Tribolium castaneum: one gene and its partner. The protein of the gene in region 1 interacts with the protein of each later gene in a biochemical or structural test. Links are inferred from orthologs where the notes say so. Each region holds a gene or a part of one and is shown on either strand. Other genes may lie near its edges.

Region 1 (4,921 bases):
ATTGCTCGACTTACTTGAAGATTTTGATGAAATCTGTGCTATCGCTGGTCATTTTTGGCAATGTGTTGTGTGAGATTAAACAGTTTTTTATCGTTGTTGACTGTGAATATATTGAGGGGTTTTGATTAGATAAACTACTCTCAAACTTATCAATTATTCATTTTGGGGTTTATCTAAATTAGATTTGATCTTTTCTATTAATTATGAACAGAAATCCATTAAATCATTTTGATTATTGGGATAAAAGTGATTTATGGAAACAATAAATGCAACTTTTTTATCAAATAGATAAAAGTTTATTCTATTTTTGGCAAAATAAGTACACGTGCTGCTAATGTAAATAATCTACAATAAAAAAATCACCAGTTAAGCTAGAAATTTCATTATTTTGTTTATTTTATTGTTTTCATTGCAAGAATTATCGCTAAAAATAAGTAAAAGCTTATCCCTTTTTTTCCATTTAAGGTAACAATTAAGATTTTTTTAGTAGATTTTCTAGAAACCGCTTGAAAAACTATTAAAAACTAAAACGAAATTGAAGCCGAAAAAGTCAAAATTCAGTAAATACATCGTTCAAAGCATTAGACACGTTTTTGAACTGGAATTTTTGTTTTTTTTAACAAGTATTTTTTTAACGAGTATTTGACGGTATTTTTGCGGTAAAAACTAAATTTAAAAAAGAAATTCTTTGAAACTAGTTAAAAAAATTATCAAATTTGATCGAAAATAAGCAAAATGTAATCAAAAATAAACCAAAATAATTTAAAATCTAGCCAAAAGTAATATTATTTGACATTTCTCAATTCGGTAATACGTCCATAGACTAAAATTTCTAGGTATTTTTTAACATCTTAACTTATTTCACCCGATTTAGCTAGTTTTTAAGCAAAATTAAATCAAAAATAAACCGAAAAACTCAAAATTTAGTCTAAAATATCTTTCAGACCATTAGAAAATGTTATTGAACAAAAGTTTTATTTTTTTTAAACAAACCGAAAAATCACTAACTACATCAAAAATTACATTATTTTAGTCTTTATTTCGAGTATTTGACCGTATTTTTACATTGTATACTGATATTTTTTAAAAATTTGATTGAAAATAAGCAAAATTTAATCAAAAATAAACAGAAAAAACCTAAAATCTAGGCAAAGACCGAAAAAGTCACGTCATAGATTATCTTTTTCTAAAATTATTAATCATTGTTTTGAATTTTTTGAATTTCGAACTAAAGAATTTTTTGAAAAAATTCCTTAAAAGCTTTCTCAAAGAAAAGGTAAAAATAATATTATTTAGTTCGATTTTTGGTCAAAAACAAAGCCTTTAGGTATGTTTTTTAATCCAAAAAAAGGTTTTTTTTGTGAGATTTTTATTAAACGAAGAGAATCACAAATTAGAACAGATTAAACTAAAATTACATGCTTTTTTCGATATTTCGAAAAATAGAATCTTCTTTAAAAATCTTTAAAAAATCATCTAAATTGATGTTATTTTAACTTGTTCCACTCAATTTAGATCATTTTGGAGCAAAATTTCGTCAAAAATAAGGCGAAAAACTTACCTTTATTATTTTGATTTTAATAATTTTTAAAACAGTCTTTTGCAACATTTCGCTAAGATAGACGAAAAAACACTCTATCTAATAAACAATTATATTACTGTTGTCCTTTATTAGTGTTTTTACGAATGTTTTTTTCGCGAAATATCGTTTAAATTTCAACAAAATTAAATTAAAACTAAAACAAAATTTGTAAATACGTTGAAAATAACATGATTTTGAGCGTTTTTTAACAAAAAGCGCAAATATCATGTAAAATAACGATAAAAACTAAGATCTTGTTAAGAAATTCACAAAAAAAACTAACTTTTTGAATTCCAATCTGGTGAATTAATTTTTTTCGTGTTGGCACCGCCTTGCCACTTTTCACGTGTGGTTATTCGAGTTGGCTGATGCAATAATTCCTCAGCGATTTTAAGTGATTTTTCCGGAAAATTCGCAGTTTTAGCCGTTTTCCCCACCGAAGCCAAGTTTCCTGTTTAGTGAAAAGCGCCCCAAAAGTGTGAAAATCATGGCAGAGGACGACGCCGTGAGTAAAACAGGCCCAATCTGTCAGGGCCAAAAGTAAGGTTATGTGCACGATTTTATCGTAAATAAATTTCCAGATTTTCGATCCTTCGCTCAAAAAGAAAAAAAAGAAGAAGAAGACCGCGTTCGATATCGAGGCGGCGTTGGCCGAGGGCGGGAACGACGCGCAAGACGCCGCCCCCGAGCCCGACACTGCCAAGGAGGACGAGCAAGATGATGCAAATGTTGATATAGATTTGGACTTCACCAAGAAGAAAAAGAAGAAGAAGAAGCCCTTCACGGCCGAGGATTTGGACGCCGTTGCTGGGGAGGGGAAGGACGAGGGGAACGAAGGGGGGAATCAGGATGAGGGGGCTCTTGATGATAACTTCGACCTGGAAGTGGACTTCAGTAAAACCAAGAAGAAAAAGAAGAAGAAGAATCTGGGGGATCTGATCGCAGAGGCTGATGAGAAGCATGAAGACAAGGAAAATGGTAATTATTTTTTTGAGGTTTTTTGGGGATTATTTTCTTGTTTGTCTAACATGCTGCACTTTAGTTGAGCGAATTCCGGAATCAGGTAACGTTTTTTTCATTAAAAATACGTACAACTGTTGTAATTATTGTGCAATTTCGTAAAAAAGAATGATGGTATTAGTGTAGCTCTTACTTTTTTTATCTTTTCGAAATATCAATTTATTAAAAGAAAATTAAAAAAAAAGATTTAACTCTTAAGAGAGTTTTTTAATTTTTTTTTGGTAAATATTTATTGATAATTATATACAATAAGTTTGTTTGTCTATAGGTAAAAATTCATATATTTTTTTTTTTCTGAAAATTTAATAAAAACGTACTATTTTTGGCTTTTGTTAGGGCGGATTTAACAAAAATTTCGTATTTCTTGAGCGTTTAACAACCCAAAAAAATTTATTGTTTTTTTTTCTCTCAATTATGGTTATTTTTGCATTTTTTAAGCCTTTGAGTTTTTATTTCGAGAATGTTTTTTTCCGAATGAGTCAACTAGTAGTTGATTTTAGCTAGTTTAGGTGACTAGATAAAAAAAACTCACTTTTAGCAAGATTTAGTTCAAATAACTCAAAATATTACACATTTTAGTCGGAAATGACTTATAATTATTGTGCATTTTTGTAAAAGAGCTTAAATGATGGTATTAGTGTTGCTCTTAGTGTTTTTTATATTTTCTCAAAATATATATTAAAAGAAAATTAAAAGGTAAAGATTTAACTAAGAGAAAAAAAAACAAAAATGATCAATAGATTTTTTAAATATTTTTCCCCTGTTTGGTTTTTTATTGAAAAATGTATAAGTCGAATATTTTTGTCTACTGGGTTAAAAGTTCATTTTTTTTGTTTTATTTTTTATTTGAGTTAAACTCACTTTTTACAAAAATTTTTTCAAATATTTAAAAAAAATACATGTTTAAGTTGGAAATAACGTATTTTTTTCGGGCGTTTATGGAGGTTTTTTTGTTAACAAATGTTTTTTTTTTAAGATTTTGCTTGGAATTGCCAATAAACTAATTATGCATTTGGCCAAAAATTCGGATATTCTTGCTTTTTTGAACACTAAAGTCTCTAAGATTTGTTTGTTTGTTTTTGAAAAAACACTTATTATTACCAAAAATTTCGTTCAATAAATCAATTAGGTAATTAAATTAATATTAATTAGGTAAAAAAACAAGTAATACCATCATTCACATGAGTGTTGATTTATTTTTTTAACTGAAATTTTTGTTATTTAGTGGATGAAAACTCAGCCGTTTGGATGACCTCCGATCGTGATTACACCTACGATGAGCTTTTGAAACGTGCCTTTGAAATAATGCGCGATAAAAATCCCGATATGGCCGCTGGCAAAAAACAAAAATTCGTTATGAGACCACCACAAGTCGTCCGAATTGGTACTAAAAAATCGTCATTTGCCAATTTTACAGAAATCTGTAAAATGCTCCATCGTCAACCGAAACATTTACTCGATTTTCTATTGGCTGAATTAGGTACAAGCGGTTCAGTGGACGGCAACAGTCAATTGATAATCAAAGGTCGCTTCCAACAGAAACAAATCGAAAATGTTTTAAGAAGGTTAGTTGCTCGTGCCTTCGGCCCTCGTCACAAATTTTTCTGTTATTTTTTTCTACAGGTATATTAAAGAGTACGTCACGTGTCACACGTGTCGTTCCCCCGATACAATTCTCCAGAAGGACACTCGATTATTCTTTTTACAATGCGAAACATGTGGTTCCAGATGTTCAGTAGCAAGTATCAAGTCAGGTTTCCAGGCTGTTACCTCAAAACGTGCTGCAATAAGAGCGAAAACAGCCTAGATGGTAGGTTAGAGGCGCGCAATATTTATACTTATTTTTAATTCAAAGTAGGTGTTGTGTACACTTTGTACGTAATTAGCCAATTGTTGAATAAACAAGATTGTGACACAAGAAAAATTATTTCAAACCGAACTAAACTACAATTTCCTAAGTCTAACATTTCCTAATTTAACAAAAAACACAACGAAAAAAATTGTATCAAAGTTACACCCGTTTTTATGTTTTAAAAAAATGTAACGTTATGGCCAAATTTGAATGTTCCTGTTGTCGGAATGAATGGAAATTTTGCATGCTTACGTAATCTGCGTGCATTCTACATATACACATAATTTTATACTTTTTTCGTGTTAACGGTTTAAAAGATTTTCTGAAATAATGTTATTTTTGACTAGATTTTAAGTTTTTTTTTGGCTAAATTGTGCTTAATGTTAGGAAAATTTTCGAAAAAATATATTTTGCCTGCAAAAATATAGTCAAACTTTCGAAATGGGGTCAAAAATAATGTAATTTTT
Region 2 (4,069 bases), on another chromosome or scaffold:
TTCGGTCTTCCTCCTCCAACAGGTTTTCCAGAATCTTTAGGTTCCAAGAGGAAATCAAGTATCCTTTCAACAATATCATCTTTAGACCCCGTTTTCTGAAGGTCTAGCATCTCGCAAATGCTTTTCAGTTGTTTTACATCACACTTAGTCATAGATGCCACCTTTTTAGAATACTCCTCTGAACCTTTTTTAAATTCAAAGCCATTGAACTTTTTGATATTTTTCTTAATCATTGTAACCTTTCCTTGCAACTTGAACAAAATCTTGTGAAGAAGTCTCATATCTTCGTTTTTAAACCGGGAAATTGACGCGTCAATCCGCGGTATTGCACCCAGAGAAGTACCAGACCCATTGGGTATCTCAACCTTTACAACCTTAAATACAACAAATAGAACAAACAGCACTCATTTTTAGATACGTACTTCTTTAGTTTCCGATGGAAATTCCTCATTGAAACGCTGTACATTTTTCCGCTCCCGTTTCCCAGACTTCTCCAAAGGTTGGTCCAGTAATGGCACGTCTTTTTCGTCATCACCACCGTCCTCACTCTTTTCATCCTCCTGCTCGCTGTTTTCCTCCTCATCCTTCTCCTTAGCTTTAGTTTTCTCCTCCTTTTTCTCGGAAGGCTTCGTGTCGCCTTTTGCGTTTTCTACTTTATCTGTTGCCGATTTATCGGTTTCAGGCTTTTTATCGGCCTCATCTGAAGCCTCATTTGGGGCCTCCTTGGGCTTTGCGTCCTCCTCCTTCTTTTCGACGCTGTTTTCAGTTGCTGCGTCAGGCTTGGCGTCTTTTGCGTCTTGAGAAGAATCGGTATTTTCGGCCTCGTTCTTCTCGTTAGACTATAACAGAATACAATTTTTTCGTTATTTTCCCACACCAGCAACTTTATTTTTGATGTAATTTTCGGTTTCCCGCTTTTTCAAATATCAACATACGCCATGTTGAAATTTCTTTCACTAACATGTTGTTTTTTAAGCGGTTTTCCAACGAAAGCGTTGCGATAAAATTGCGAATTTAACATCAGTAGAGGCCCAGGTCACGATCTATTTTTTCGAAAATAAATAATTGAGGGTACTTACCTCTGAAGAGAGATTTTTAGAAGAATCACCTTCACTAGACATCTTAACTGTCATATACCGCGTCTAGAAATGTCCAATAAGAAGTCACACGCATTGCATAATCGACCAATGCAAATGTAGCATGGGGCCACTGTGCAAAACGGTTCAATAAATGCCTGTCTTACTGAAATTTTTTCGAAACTGCGACGCTACTAGCACTTTTCAAACACAGAAATCAAGAGAATTTCCAATTTCAGGTAATTAGGGGCTGTTCAAGGCCGAATTTCTATCATTTAGGAAACTTTTCGAGCCATCGTAGCAGTTACTTTTTTCATTTATTTTGGCTGTGGCTAAAGTGCCGACGTGACTCATTTGCCGGAAAAATGGAAAATATTTTTTTTATCAAACTTATTTTTAGAGAAGCGGTTGTGATCTTAAATATGACAACGAATCGAATCCAAATTTCATCTTTCAATAATAATGCATTAATTGAATATAAAATAATCCTCTTAAATTTTTTCGGTCTTAGGCACACGTTACATCGCCAAAAGAGAAAGCGATATACAAATCACTTGTATTGAACAAAGATAGTCATATTTGATGCGTTGAATAATACAGAGAAAAGCTTGCAGGTTGTGGCTGTGCTGTCACACGTGAAGTTATTTCGGAATTTCATCATTTTTTCATATATTTTGATAATAATATAGGTATTTATAACAACCGTAACTTTTTATGATAATTTATTCTTACATAAACTCATTAACTTTTCGTTAAAGCTACTTTTTGTGAATATAACCTAAAAATTCATTTCCATATTTTCAGGTAAAAATGCCTCTCTCCTGTAGATTTTACAGGGAAAAGTACCCTGAAGTCGAGGATGTGGTGATGGTGAACGTTCGAGCCATTGCCGAAATGGGGGCTTACGTTCATTTACTGGAATATAAGAACATTGAAGGCATGATTTTGCTTTCCGAATTGTCGAGAAGACGTATTCGTTCCATAAATAAATTAATTAGAGTAGGTAAAACGGAACCCGTTGTTGTAATAAGAGTGGACAAGGACAAGGGTTATATTGACTTGTCAAAAAGGCGTGTTAGTGCTGAGGATGTCGAGAAGTGCACTGAAAGATTTGCGAAAGCAAAGGCCGTCAATTCGATTCTTAGACACGTCGCTGAATTGCTCAAATATGAGTCAGATGAGCAGTTGGAGGAATTGTACCAAAAAACTGCGTGGTACTTTGAGGAAAAGTACAAGAAAAATAAAGCAAGTGCTTATGATTTCTTCAAGCAGGCTGTCTCGTAATTATTACAATTAAACAACAATATTACAATATAATCGTTGTGTAATTTTCAGTGATCCCAGTATATTGGCCGAATGTCAGTTGGATGATAGAACCAAGGAAGTATTGTTGAGCAACATCAAGAGGAAACTGACTTCTCAAGCAGTCAAAATCCGTGCTGATATTGAATGTGCATGTTACGGCTATGAAGGAATTGACGCTGTGAAGACAGCCTTGAAGTCCGGTTTGTCGCTTTCAACTGATGAATTGCCAATTAAAATCAATCTCATTGCTCCTCCTCTCTACGGTAAAAAACTCATTTCCAACTAGAATTAATTATTTATCCGTGTAATTTTAGTAATGACGACTTCTACGCCTGAAAAACAAGACGGGCTGAAAATACTAAACGATGCAATTGAGAAAATAAAAGCCACAATTTCTGAATTAGGTGGCGTTTTTAACGTTCAGATGGCTGTAAGTGATTTAATTTCCTTGTTTAGGACCTGCTTTTTACGTAAATTTTTAGCCTAAAGTTGTGACAGCTACCGATGAAGCTGAGCTGCAAAGACAAATGGAAAGAGCCGAATTGGAAAACACTGAAGTTGCGGGCGACGACGACGATGAAGAAGACGGAGATGAGGGACAAGTTTACAATGAGAATGATAATGAATCTGAACCTGAAGAAGATTAAACAAACCTCAAACGTTTTATGATTAAATACCATGTGTATTATAAGTTTTTATATTGAAGCTTGTGGTTTAATTCAATATTTTAAGCCAATAAAATATTGTAAAGGTGAAAATGTGTTTATTATAAAGAAAAAAATACAATTTAACCCTCAAAGAATTTTGGCAGTTGGTCGCCCAAGACCACTCTGCGCTCGATTCCCTCCTCTGTAATAATTCCTAATCTAACCACACCACCCGAAGAACCATCGCGTGACATTGCGAGTGCCAAAGCTGTAAAAACTGAGTTAGAAAAAATTTCTCACGAAAAAATAACCTACTGTTTGTAATGAATTTAACACACTCTTCCTTCGACATGTTCGGTTTATAGTTGGCGTCAACGTACCCGTACACGTAACTAGAGCCTGAACCCCCAATGGAGACCTGCTGTCTCACACACATGCCTCCAATGGGGATTGAGTACACTTGCCCCCCTTTACGTTTATCCCAACCCGCAACCAGAATACCGGCCATTAGGGAATCACGATAGTTGTAACACAACTCGCGAAAAACCGCAGCCCCTGTCTCCACCAAAGGCTCTTCCCCTAACTCCATTCTACAAACCAAAATTTTTATAAAAAAATTAGCTAAAATTATCTCTACCCATGAAAACTTAGATGGTAGGCCACAATGTCCGCAATAGCCTGGGTATCGGCCGCGGAGCCAGAGCGGCAGCAGTAAATATGGTCGGTTACTTTAGTCAGTTTGTCTGTGACACGATTTGCGATGTATGCTCTACAATTAGTGGGGGTTATTTTTTATATAGTGATATATTGAGTGTGTTACCCCGTAGTGGTTCGAGAATCGGCCCCAATAATTACGCCCCCATTGAATTCCGCTGCCATAATAGAGGTCTAAAACAACAAGTCATGGGGACCTAACCTCACCGAATTTTTCGGGGAAAAACTTACACCAGTGCTGTGGGCAGCGTTCATCCAGTCACTTTCAGCATTCATGCCGTAATCACTTGTTACAGGTGGCATTTTACGGGAAAATTAATTCACAAG

The links. The genes of interacting proteins can lie anywhere in the genome.
Region 2: the proteins of eIF2beta (region 1) and eIF2alpha form a complex in vitro, tested with the Homo sapiens proteins (2 studies listed by BioGRID and IntAct). The link is inferred for Tribolium castaneum from reciprocal best matches to the Homo sapiens genes EIF2S2 and EIF2S1.

Annotation. Positions count from the first base shown.
Region 1 is NC_087394.1:663,275-668,195, forward strand, and holds eIF2beta (eukaryotic translation initiation factor 2 subunit 2), read left to right. Parts: upstream 1-1,901; 5' UTR 1,902-2,069; coding exon 2,070-2,087; intron 2,088-2,163; coding exon 2,164-2,560; intron 2,561-2,624; coding exon 2,625-2,645; intron 2,646-3,827; coding exon 3,828-4,167; intron 4,168-4,225; coding exon 4,226-4,409; 3' UTR 4,410-4,526; downstream 4,527-4,921.
Region 2 is NC_087396.1:10,998,967-11,003,035, forward strand, and holds eIF2alpha (eukaryotic translation initiation factor 2 subunit 1), read left to right. Parts: upstream 1-1,622; 5' UTR 1,623-1,765; intron 1,766-1,880; 5' UTR 1,881-1,886; coding exon 1,887-2,356; intron 2,357-2,411; coding exon 2,412-2,644; intron 2,645-2,695; coding exon 2,696-2,811; intron 2,812-2,863; coding exon 2,864-3,028; 3' UTR 3,029-3,139; downstream 3,140-4,069. Other genes in the region: protein DEK, read right to left, coding at 1-374, 423-839, 1,080-1,133; Prosbeta1 (proteasome subunit beta type-6), read right to left, coding at 3,169-3,296, 3,344-3,618, 3,666-3,797, 3,849-3,916, 3,974-4,045. UniProt on the Homo sapiens protein: Member of the eIF2 complex that functions in the early steps of protein synthesis by forming a ternary complex with GTP and initiator tRNA. This complex binds to a 40S ribosomal subunit, followed by mRNA binding to form a 43S pre-initiation complex (43S PIC).